3 linked regions of the Mus musculus genome follow. The protein of the gene in region 3 interacts with the protein of the main gene of each other region in a biochemical or structural test. Links are inferred from orthologs where the notes say so. Each region holds a gene or a part of one and is shown on either strand. Other genes may lie near its edges.

Evidence for each region.
Region 1: the proteins of Snap25 (region 3) and Cplx1 are reported together in a solved structure, tested with the Homo sapiens proteins (2 studies listed by BioGRID, with this or other methods). The link is inferred for Mus musculus from reciprocal best matches to the Homo sapiens genes SNAP25 and CPLX1.
Region 2: the proteins of Snap25 (region 3) and Stx3 form a complex in vitro, tested with the Homo sapiens proteins (2 studies listed by BioGRID). The link is inferred for Mus musculus from reciprocal best matches to the Homo sapiens genes SNAP25 and STX3.

What each region holds. Positions count from the first base shown.
Region 1 is NC_000071.6:108,522,446-108,526,223, reverse strand, and holds part of Cplx1 (complexin-1), read left to right. Parts: intron 1-656; coding exon 657-832; intron 833-3,778. UniProt on the Homo sapiens protein: Positively regulates a late step in exocytosis of various cytoplasmic vesicles, such as synaptic vesicles and other secretory vesicles.
Region 2 is NC_000085.6:11,781,322-11,785,099, reverse strand, and holds part of Stx3 (syntaxin-3), read left to right. Parts: exon of another isoform or gene 1-890; intron 891-1,963; coding exon 1,964-2,074; exon of another isoform or gene 2,075-2,189; coding exon of another isoform or gene 2,190-2,426; exon of another isoform or gene 2,427-3,413; intron 3,414-3,419; coding exon 3,420-3,503; 3' UTR 3,504-3,533; intron 3,534-3,778. UniProt on the Homo sapiens protein: Potentially involved in docking of synaptic vesicles at presynaptic active zones. Apical receptor involved in membrane fusion of apical vesicles.
Region 3 is NC_000068.7:136,772,392-136,776,169, reverse strand, and holds part of Snap25 (synaptosomal-associated protein 25), read right to left. Parts: intron 2,276-3,778; coding exon 2,150-2,275; intron 1-2,149.

The DNA of each region.
Region 1 (3,778 bases), on a different chromosome or scaffold from region 3:
TGTCACTGGTGTCTGGGTACAATGGGCTAAGGATCACCCATTGGTATGTAATTATAGCCTATGCCCTATGGGCTAAGCTGCAAGGGCGTTTGGGGTGGTTTCTGTAGGGCCTGTGACTCAGGAACTCATGAGAAAAGTGGTACCTAGCATAGGGGCAATTAGGGCTTGGTGCTGAAGATAAGCAGTGCCTTCAGCCTGGGTTATGGGTACATGCCTGTCACCTACTTTAGCAGCCACTATTGCCCATCATAATCTGTTCCTGCCTGTTCATCATCTATGCATCTGCACATCTGGATTTCCCTTCCATCACCTTCGGTTCAATCCTCTGCAGGACAAAGGTCTCAGGAAGGATGCACATCTGCCTCAGGAGCACATAGATGAGCAGACACATCAGTGCACACAAACACACATGTGCAGTGGCATGAATATACACACAGATAACTAGATGAACATGCAACTACAACACAACCACTCACTATATGTGTGTGTGTGTGCATGTGCACGCGTGCGTGCGTGTATGTGTGTGTGTGGGTAAATACACAGACAAAAACCAACACATTCACTTCTCTCAAGGGATGGGCACTACTGGACTCACGGCCAGCAGAAGGGACTAGGAACCCAGAATGATGCTGCCTGATCTCTGCTGTTATTCCCAGGGGCCACCAAGGACATGGGGAAGATGCTTGGGGGTGATGAGGAAAAGGACCCCGATGCTGCTAAGAAGGAGGAAGAGCGGCAGGAGGCACTGCGGCAGGCAGAGGAGGAGCGCAAAGCAAAGTACGCCAAGATGGAGGCAGAACGTGAGGTCATGCGGCAGGGTATAAGAGACAAGGTGAGCAACTGCAAAGAGGAGAACTGCAGGCAGCAACCCTACCAGAGGCAACAGCCTCCTTCCTTGGCTAACAGCTCCCCTTTCACTCCTAATTCAGGGATCTAAACCTTGGGGACTGCACTGTTGGGGGACTATAGGTGTTTGAATCTGGTTGGGGGTCATTCTGAGGGCTGCCCTTTCCTACTCCTCATGTCAGGACTGGTTGTTCTCCTGGAGCTTTGGCCCTGCCCAGAAAGAAGACTCTAAGAGAGGAATGGGGATTGGCTGAGCTGGGAGTCTTTGTGGGTCAGGAAAATCAGGGCCAGAAGTTCCCCTTTACCTTTGCTTCCTGGACTTAAACAGGGTGGATGGGTGGTAGCCTCCCTGTTCCCAGTCACCTTTGTGACTGTCTCTGCAGGTAGTAGGGCAGTCAGAGAGCATTGTGCCTCCTATTCATAGTGGAAAAACTGAGGACCCATGTGGAATCCTGAATTGAGGACCACATACAGCCACCTCTTTTAAGAGAATGGTTCCTGCCCACTCCAGAAGGGAAGCGCCAGGCCATGGGAAGAAACGAGTCATTGAGATCCTTCCAGGCCCTGTGGGGATGGTTCAGCAGGCTTGGGTGGGTAGGTGGGGAGCAGGGAGTAGGTCACATAATCCTCCAGTCCTGGACTTGAGATGCTAAGCTGGGGAGCAGACATCCTAGGTTCTAGGTCCCCCTTCCTGCCTGTACATCCACACCAGGTTCTCTGTTGATGTGTCTGTGGTTGGGGCAGATCTTTGTGACACACAGGGAAGGAAGCTGTAACTCCTAAGATGGATAGCGGGAGATGGCCAGTAGGTGGCTGGAGACATTGGGTCCTTGATCTCACAAAGGGCCAAATGTGTAGCTGGCCTCCCCTCTCTGCCCATATTTGGCCTCCGAGGTAAGCCCTAGAATACCCTCCCTTCACACTTGGTTGTAGAGTGCTGTTTATGGGATCTGGGCTATGCACTTGACATTTGCCTTGAAGCGCTGTCACTGGGCAGTTTCCTGGGTCTTGTAGAAGGTGCTTGCTCAGTTTGCTTTGCCCCTACCTTCCACAGCCAGTGAGTCACTTATTGTGGTTAGCAAGATGTGCTATTGATCATGTGAGTGACATGGTAGCAGACCCCAAAATTAATTGTAATGTATCAAGAGGTGTGAGGATGAACATGAGAGATGGATAGAGAGTTAGAGACTGACAGACAGACAGTGATGCTAAATGGAGGGCTTAGAGGGACGGAAAGAAAAGCAAAAGAGAGCTGAGAGCCACAGAGGTCCCTCCCTAGGTAGAGTTAAGAGGGACCAGAACAAGGTTGGAGTAGGGTGCTATGCTAGATGCCCAAGTGTGCAGTGGCTCTGGCAAGTTCAGGGTTGGGGCTGGGTTTTTGGTCCAGGAGAGTCCTGTGCTTGGTTCAGTCCCCCTCAGGAAGTTCCTGCCAAATACCACCCTACCCACAAAGCTTTGACCTCTCGGTGTGTTTAAAAAATTGGGACTCAAAGAAGACAGGGTACCTTATCCACTGCTCTGTTTTTACACATTTCCCTAGAAACTGTGAAGAAATTTGTTCTTCAAAACAGTATTTCAACATGTGGGTTGAGACCCCTTGAGGGATCCAATGACCCTTTTACAGGAGTCCCCTAAGACCATTGGAAAACACAAATATTTACATTGCATTTCACAACTGTAGCAAATTACAGTTATGAAGTAGCAATGAGATGATTTTATGGTTGGGGTTCACCACAACATGAAGGACTGTATTAAAGGGTCACAGCATTAGGAAGGTTGGTAGCCACCGCTTCAGAAAGTTCAACAGCCTATGCCTGGCTGATTAGGGAAAAGAAATGCAGAATATCCAAGTGATCCCCTAAAAGAGGCCCCTCTGGTGCAGATAAAAAGGGTGAGCCCAAGAGGGGAAAGTTGTAGGGTCAAAGCCCCAGGCACTCCCAGATGCACTGGGCCCCACCCCACATCATCCCATGCTGACAGGATGGTATGGAAGCTGTCATGTTTCCAGACATCCGGTTACTTCTATATCACTGCCTGGCCACCCCAGAAGCTATCAGTCCTGACTCCTGGGCCTTCACTGCTGCTGCTCCATCTCCCCAGCTCCCATAGGTGTACATCCTGCTGGTCTGGTTGAGCCCTCACTGGGCAGTCCCTGCTACCCACTAGAACTGGATCCCCAGCCTCGCCCTGGGCTATGTGTACCCCTAGTGTCTTGAGCCTTGGTCAGAGAGAGAGAGCTGAGCAGTGTTCCAAGGCTCCTCAGTGATAAGGGGGAGAGGAAGAGACTAAGAATGGGGTCAGTTTTCATATCCTCATGGTGTGAGGCTCCTGGTAACCCATCTAAAGAACTGGGCATGGATATTCAGGATTGTCCCAGGGTGGGGCGGTTCCTGGAGAAGTATCCATATCCATTAGGAAGCCATCTAAGCAGAGTTTGATTTGCAAACCCACCATCCAGTATCTATTTCTACCACCTATTTGTGCACACAGCCAGATTTCCACACACACCTCCAGGTTTGCATATGTACTACATGCTTTGTGTATGCTTCCAGCCGCCCACAGTGAACTGTCTGTTGAGTCAGAACCTTTCTTCTGGTGAGGGGACAAGGCCCAGGTGTAGAGCTGGCATGTTTCTGCACCCACAGTTCTGTACTCACCTGGCTTCTCTCCGCCTGTATGGTGATGAAAGCTGTGCAGGTGGAGACTGGCCAGAGCTGTTGGCTCTTAGCACTCATAGCCTTTACTTAACAGTGATCTTAGGTCTTCTGTTGTCTCCTATACGTGAAACCCCCTTAATCCAGCCCTTCGGCATCTTCACCTGCCTCGGAAAGGTGTGCCTTCTAGCATACCTGACTGTTACTTCCCGTGGCCCTGTCCTTGGGCTGATGCTTCCGGACACCTGACACAATGGATACCTGGCCTGGGTTAGGTT
Region 2 (3,778 bases), on a different chromosome or scaffold from region 3:
AAAGACATGGGCTCTTTGGCTGTGGAATGTGTAGTTGAGTATAGGCTGCCTGCTTAGCATTCATAAGGCCTTGGGTCCAAGCTATCTTCTGGCCTAGGTCTGCATAAACCAAGAATAGCAGCATATACCTATAATCACAGCACTTAGAAGATGGAGGCAGGGGGATCAGGAGTTTAAGGTTATCTTCTAATACAGAACAAATCTGAAAGGCAGCCTGGGATTCACTAGACCTACCTTTCCTAAAAAAATAAAAAGGAGGTCTTATAGTCAATGCCTTGACAGTCTTTTGATATGAACTATTTTACTGAAAGCTTTTTCTTTTCCTCTAATTCACCATAGAAGTTAAAAGCAAGTTAATTAATTTTTCTAGTTTTGCTTTTATACTTCTCTTTTCCTGAGCATTTTGGCACCTTTTGTTAAGAATCAACAGTAGACATGATTGAAGAATTTCTTATTAAAAGAATATTTTAGTGAAAGACTATAAAAACACTTATGATTCTCGACAATTCATCCCCAAGCTTGCCTGCTTGGGAGTGGAATTCGATATTGCTTGCATATGACATTCATTTCTGTCAGATTGTTGGTCCCCAGTTCTTGGGATAGAGTTAGGTGTCATGTAGGGTCATGGTGCTAAGCAGCTTTCACCAGGAACTTCCAGCTATTCAGCCATTGGTACAGAATTGGAAACTCTTGCTTGGTAGGTAGACCCCAGACCGTAGTTGAAGCCTGAGTACAGGCTAACCAGTTGTTCATGAGTTCTTTGCCCTTTGGCACTCTTCTTCCTTTTCCCTTTCTGGCCTTTGAGACTCCTTTCTCAATCCCTCTATTCCCACTTTTTTTTTTTTCCCACCACACTGCCTTGCTGAGGATCTGGTTTGAGTCAAGTGATGGTAAGTGCTTTGCTGGGTTTTCTGAGAGTCCCAAGGCAAAGGGAATGAGAAAGATCTAGGCGGGTGACAGGGAATGCTCAGCTATAGATTCCCAGGAAGTAACTGGAGTGACCAAACTTCCTTGATAGGAAGTAAAAGCTGGGAAATGATCAGGATCTTATTAAAAGACAAGAGTCTAGAGGGGAAGATACAACCAATAGCATGGGGAGCCCCAACACTGCTACTTAAGGGGCTTGGTAATTTCTCTTGAAGGACTTAAGTACTTCTCCTGTTGCCGACCTGATAATTGCTGTAATACCTTTGTGTACTGGGCACCAGTTCACAGTAGTGAGCAAGCTCGGTTCACAGTAGTGAGCAAACTCAGTTCACGGGAGTGAGCAAACTCAGTTCACGGGAGTGAGCAAACTCAGTTCACGGTAGTGAGCAAACTCGGTTCACGGTAGTGAGCAAACTCGGTTCACGGTAGTGAGCAAACTCAGTTCACGGGAGTGAGCAAACTCGGTTCACGGTAGTGAGCAAACTCAGTTCACGGGAGTGAGCAAACTCGGTTCACAGTAGTGAGCAAACTCGGTTCACGGGAGTGAGCAAACTCGGTTCACAGGAGTGAGTAAACCCAGCTTAGGCTGAGTGAACTTGAATGGCTAAGAATGGGTCAGCATCCTGGTGATATTCTAAAAATATGAGGTTTTCTTATTTTGGTTCATTCCTATATGCTTAAAAAATAAGAACATTAAAGAAAAATGAGGGAGAGGGCGTCCCTTTGTGTATATTTACATGTAGTTACTGAGCACCTAGAAAACCTGCTTCAGATGGCTGGTATAATTACTCATGGAAGTAGTCCAGTAGTTATTGAATGAGTGACCACTGTTGAGGACTGGGGAATTATGGGTCATTACATGGGGAATGGGAAAGTTTGCTCTACGGAAGGCTGTGCTCTAAGGTTTCTGCATGCGCCTTGCCACTGAAGACTGTACAGTCCTTCCCACATTAGCTGGGCTATTTTGTGTGTGTGTGTGTGTGTGTGTGTGTGTGTGTATGTGGGTTAACAGGTGTGACTTGTGTCTTCTTTTTAGGGGGAGATGTTAGATAACATAGAGTTGAATGTCATGCACACAGTGGACCATGTGGAGAAGGCACGGGATGAAACTAAAAGAGCCATGAAGTATCAGGGTCAGGCTCGGAAGGTGAGGTTTTCCTTCTGTCTTCAGACAAGAGAGTCCATTTTGTTTGCTGCTGCGCTTTCTCTCTCCTCTCTTTCTGTCTCTTTCTGTTGCCACCACATCTTGCATCTGGGGAAAGGGAGCCATGATTGACCGCATTGAGAACAACATGGACCAGTCAGTGGGCTTTGTGGAACGGGCTGTGGCAGATACCAAAAAGGCGGTCAAGTATCAGAGTGAAGCCCGGAGGGTGAGCGCCTCAATCTCTGCTTGTTGTACCTTCTCTACCTGTCTTTTGTCACTTGTCTACTCTGTTCTTGAGCCCATGTCCTTCGTCTCTGTCCTAGCCTTAGCCTCTTCCAAACCCCTACCTTAGCCTTTCCTAGACTTCCCTCCCTCCCTCCCTCCCACGGTTCTGTGCATGGATCTGGCTCTCACCTGATTTTGGCCCTAGAACCCACACTCGAGCAGCCCAGTAGGCTGGCCACATGGCCTAGATCTTGTCATTAATCTGATTGTAGCTTGTGAATCCTTAACACATTACGTAGCTCCTTGGAACTCCGGAAAACAGTCTTCCACTTTGCCCAGCATTCTTTCTCTTTTTCTCTAACTTGAACCTAGCACAGTTGCTAATTGTTACATAAATATTATTACACACTCATAGAAGCACTTCCTTTCTCTACTTCTAGATGAAGTACAGGAGTTGGGCCTGGCATTCACATCCCACTAGTGTATTCTACCATGTCTCTGTGCCTGTCTTCCCTTCTGGCCTATGCTCAAGAACTTTGAAGCTTCTGTCTTCATTGACTGTGGATGCCCAGATATGGCAACCTCTGCCTTGTTTTATTCTTTGTTTCTCTTGGTCTCTGAGATTTTCATTCTTTACTTCATTCTCTTCTGCACCTAGCACGCTTGTGCAATTATTGAGGGAGTTCGCAAATTGTTTTCATCTGAATCTATGATGAACTGCATTTTGGACACCTATTCAGTATATGTAGTCTAAGGTATATAACTGGGTTTTTAAGAGGACAGATGAATACATGTTGGTAATCAGAACTGTGTTACAAACATTTTATGGATTGGTGAGGTGCTGCTGGAGACCTCATGATACTGATTGCCCTGAGTTCACATATGCAAGCATGTGAACTGAGAGCTGTAGGTTCTCCACACTTCCATTTGCTGGCACTGCTAGGCAAGACGAAATTTAAGAAATGTAAAATATCCATGAGAACATTTTTTATAGAGAGATGTATGGGTTGAGATGGTTTTCATTGTAAGAGATAAGAAAGGCTACCTTTTAGATGAGTTACTATTGCCTTTTTTTTTTTGTAATAATGATTTTATTTTTATTTCTTATTCCTTTCTCCAGAAATTGATAATTATCATTGTGGTAGTAGTTGTGTTGCTGGGCATTTTAGCGTTGATTATTGGACTGTCCGTTGGGCTGAAATAAGAGTGGCCTAAGGGGCTGCTGCACTGAAATGTAAGTAGACCAAGGGTTCTGGATTGGCTTCTCCTGAGGAATTAGTCTGGGATTTCATAACTCTACTCTTTTCTAATGACTGTCACAATGGGCTTTAAAACTGTTGGTTGCCTTAATTCTTTAATTTCCTTAAAATTCCATTCTTGGGTTCTGGCTGCAGGATACGGGTCAGGTCTTCTGGGTTTTTTGGAGCCTGATTGTTCGTTCGTTCGTTCCTTCCTTCCTTCCTTCCTTCCTTCCTTTCT
Region 3 (3,778 bases):
ACTTTACCACGTTTCCAAAGGCCAACTTGAAGGCTAAGAAGGCACTCTATTGCAAACAGCAGGCATCTTACTGCAAATAGAAAGCACTTATTACAGAATTTTCTTACTAGTTACAGTAATGAGCTAAAAACGGAAGGTTTAAACTCCTTTTCCCATGGCAACTCCCAAAGTACACTGGCATATTATAACTTTTGTCTATTGTTTGTTTTGTTTTGCTTGCAACCTTGTCTCCATATATAGCCCAAGCTGACTTTGAGAACTCAGACCTGATGAGTGCTGGGATTAGAGTCCTATGCCACTATGCTTGGCTCCACTAAGATATATATCAGCCTGAGACAGAGCAAATTTAAAGATTAAGAGAAAACCTCCTATCATTTACATTTCATTTGAGTGATCATCAACCATGAACAAGTTTCTGTACCACAACTACTTCCATCCCTAAAGCACAGTGGAACACCAGAGCTGTACAAATCAGAGATGCTTGTGTCAGTTGTCAAGATATTTGGATTGAATTGCTGTGGATTAAATATTGGCGCGTGTCCCTCTGTCTTTCCTTCTTGCATTTTTCCCTGCTTCCCCCTTCCTTCCTTCCTTCCTTCCTTCCTTCCTTCCTTCCTTCCTTCCTTCCTTCCTTCCTTCCTTCCTTCCTTTCTTTCTTTCTTTCTTTCTTTCTTTCTTTCTTTCTTTCTTTCTTTCTTTCTTTCTTCGGATCTCCCATAGTCCATACTTTTACAACCACTGGCTTACAAATTATTAATTGAGTTTCCTTGTAAGCAGATGGAGGCAAAATTAGAATTGTCATTTGTAAGGCATATCTAGACCCTATGACTTATGGCTCACATTTGAATACCAGCATAATTGATTGGCCAATAACTACAATAACTTAGAGATAAATAATTAGGAAGACAAATATCTTCACCTATGCTGAGTTCTGGTATAACAGTGTATATCATTGATTCTCAGCCTGCTTCATGCTGCAATCCTTTAATGCAGATTCTCATGTAATAGAAAATTATTTTTGTTGCTACATCATAAGTACAATTTTGCTACTGTTTTCAATTGTACTGTAATTATTTCTGGAGACAGAGGTTTGCTAAAGCAGTTATAACTCACAGGTTGAGAACTGTTTGTTGATATGTAATAAGTCTAAACTGTTTTAATTGATAAGGCTTACACTTTCTTTGACAAAATTACGCTTTTCTGGTTAAAACAAACTGGTGGTTGTATGGAATGAATTGGGGGGAGCATGCCCAAAAATATAATAACTTTAATCTTTCCTTTGTCATAGAAAATATTTGGCTGTTTTTCTGCTTAGTGGTTTCCTTTCCTCAGGCCAAGATATTGGCTGACATATAATTTGAGCTTTTAAAATAGGTATTTATTTATTTATTTATTTATTTATTTATTTATGCTTCTAGATCTCAAAAGAAGTGGTTAATGTGTATTCCACTTTTTCCTCCTTTTCCTACTCTAAATCAGGTCTTTGACTTCCCCTGCTCTGTGCCCTGAGAAGCTGACCTTTATTACTGTACTACTGGCTCCTTGTTTGCTCTGGCTTCCAGTGGGCTTTGAATAGTGGCCTGAGAGAGACTGGAGGTCATGAAAGCAGGGTTTAGGGCATTTGCTTCTCTTTCTTGTTCTAGTCAACTCTAGCTATGACTGTATTTCCCTACCATAAAACCCTTTTGTTCTTGGCCTATCTCCTGAGAAAGGAGTGGTAACAGCTTTCTGGTACTCCTAGACTATAAATGCTACATTACTCTTGCTGTTTACCAGGCCTCTGCTAAAATAAACTCAGGTCAAGTGATGTCATTCCATACCAACTCTGATTCTGGATGTGGTCATGCTTTGCACCATGGCAAACTGTGCCCATGCCATAGCTCAGAAGGAAATCATGTCTTGGATTTTGCCTGCTTGGAACACTATCATTACCATGAAGAAACCTGAGCTCTTTGCTGGAAGACCTCATGCAGGTGGATGGAAGTGTCTCTACTGATAGCCCAGCCAAAGACCAGACAAGATAATGAATGACAAGCTATCATAATCTAATCATAGCCCAATGAGGGAGCCCAAAAATTCCTTGCAAGTAAAAGAAAAGAAAATAGTTCAGTGCTGGTTATCCATCAACAGAGTACTGCAAAAAACTCACCTGCGGATGAAGCCACCACTGATGGCCATCTGCTCCCGTTCATCCACCACACGGGCAGGCTGGCTGGCCACTACTCCATCCTGATTATTGCCCCAGGCTTTTTTGTAAGCATCACTGGATTTAAGCCTATGCAAAAAATTGGGTGAGTGACAAAGCCCAGGGTGGAGGAGCAAGCTCACAGAAATGATCACTTCTTTAAGCGAAGAACCGAACCAAGCAAATGAGTTTTAAGTTGAGGCATTAGAGAATACCGATATATCATAATCTGGACCCAAACAGTTGGCCACCACCACACCTCAGCTATTCAGCATTTTATTTTTAATTAAGCCAATTTTTTTGGGGTTTTTTTTTTTTTTTGGTTTTTCGAGACAGGGTTTCTCTGTGTAGCCCTGGCTGTCCTGGCACTCACTTTGTAGACCAGGCTGGCCTTGAACTCAGAAATCTGCCTGTCTCTGCCTCCCAAGTGCTGGGACTAAAGGCGTGCGCCACCACCGCCCAGCTAATTGAGCCAATTTCAATGGTCAAGACTAATCTTTGGTTTGTTTTGTGCTTTAATTGGATTTAAGATGAGGCTTAAGATAGCTGGTGAACATTCAGTTCTATTTCAGTGACATGATTATATTTTGAGACACAAAACACAGAAAAACATACTGGCAGACAGACACAAGACAACACTGCCAAGTAGAGGGTGTACATCACACCACAGTAACACGGAGTCATGAAGAAAAACATACTTGACGTTTAAACACACCATCATGCAGTGATCTTTGCTTAATATCTTTCCCTCAATGCATGTGTGTACTACATTTCAATGTTTCATGAAAGACACAAAGGATTGGTGGTTGGCCAAGGGTGATGGTCTTTGGGTTGCTTCTAGAGTGGTTTGAAATTGATAATATATCGGTACTTCCAAACAGTCACCATACATCCAGGGTTGATGTACAAACCTTTGTCCACAGAGACAAAAAGTAAAAGAAGCATTGTGAAATGAATGCAGGAAAATAGAAGAGAGAACAAGCCATCTAGCACCAAAGAGGAACCCCACCCCACCCCACCCTGTGTCTTCTTCATGCACCAGCTACAGGCATGAGTAGAAAGTGAAGCATTCTCATTTAAGCCAAACTACTCCAGAAGTTGACCATTCTCGAAATAGGCACTAGCAGGACAGTAATAGCCTTCGTGAGGATTTGAAACGCAGTTCAGTAGCTTCTTGGTTGGGCCAAAGGGCAGGGTAGTGTGCAAACAGATTCCTACTTTAAACTATTCTGGGTTATCACAAGGGAGAGTGGTTTGGAACTAGTGTGGTCTCCATGGGCTACATTTCACTGACCTGCCTTGGAACAAAACTTAAAATCCAGGCATACCTGTTGTGCCCAATAGAAACATATAGAGCATATTTTGGTGGGTGTGTTGTAATTTAAGGCAATCAAAGATGTTTCTAGGTTCTTTGCATAGTAGAAACCACATGCTATTGAGTCCAAGAACAACATACATCCTTCGGTCTCATTTCGCAGTTTTTATTCTAAGACAACAAGATTATATACTACTTTCCCCCACTTTTTCTGTGTTTCAAAGCCATCTCTTAAACTGGCTTTAATCCTTGCAGTCTGAGGACCAAGAAACCATGGT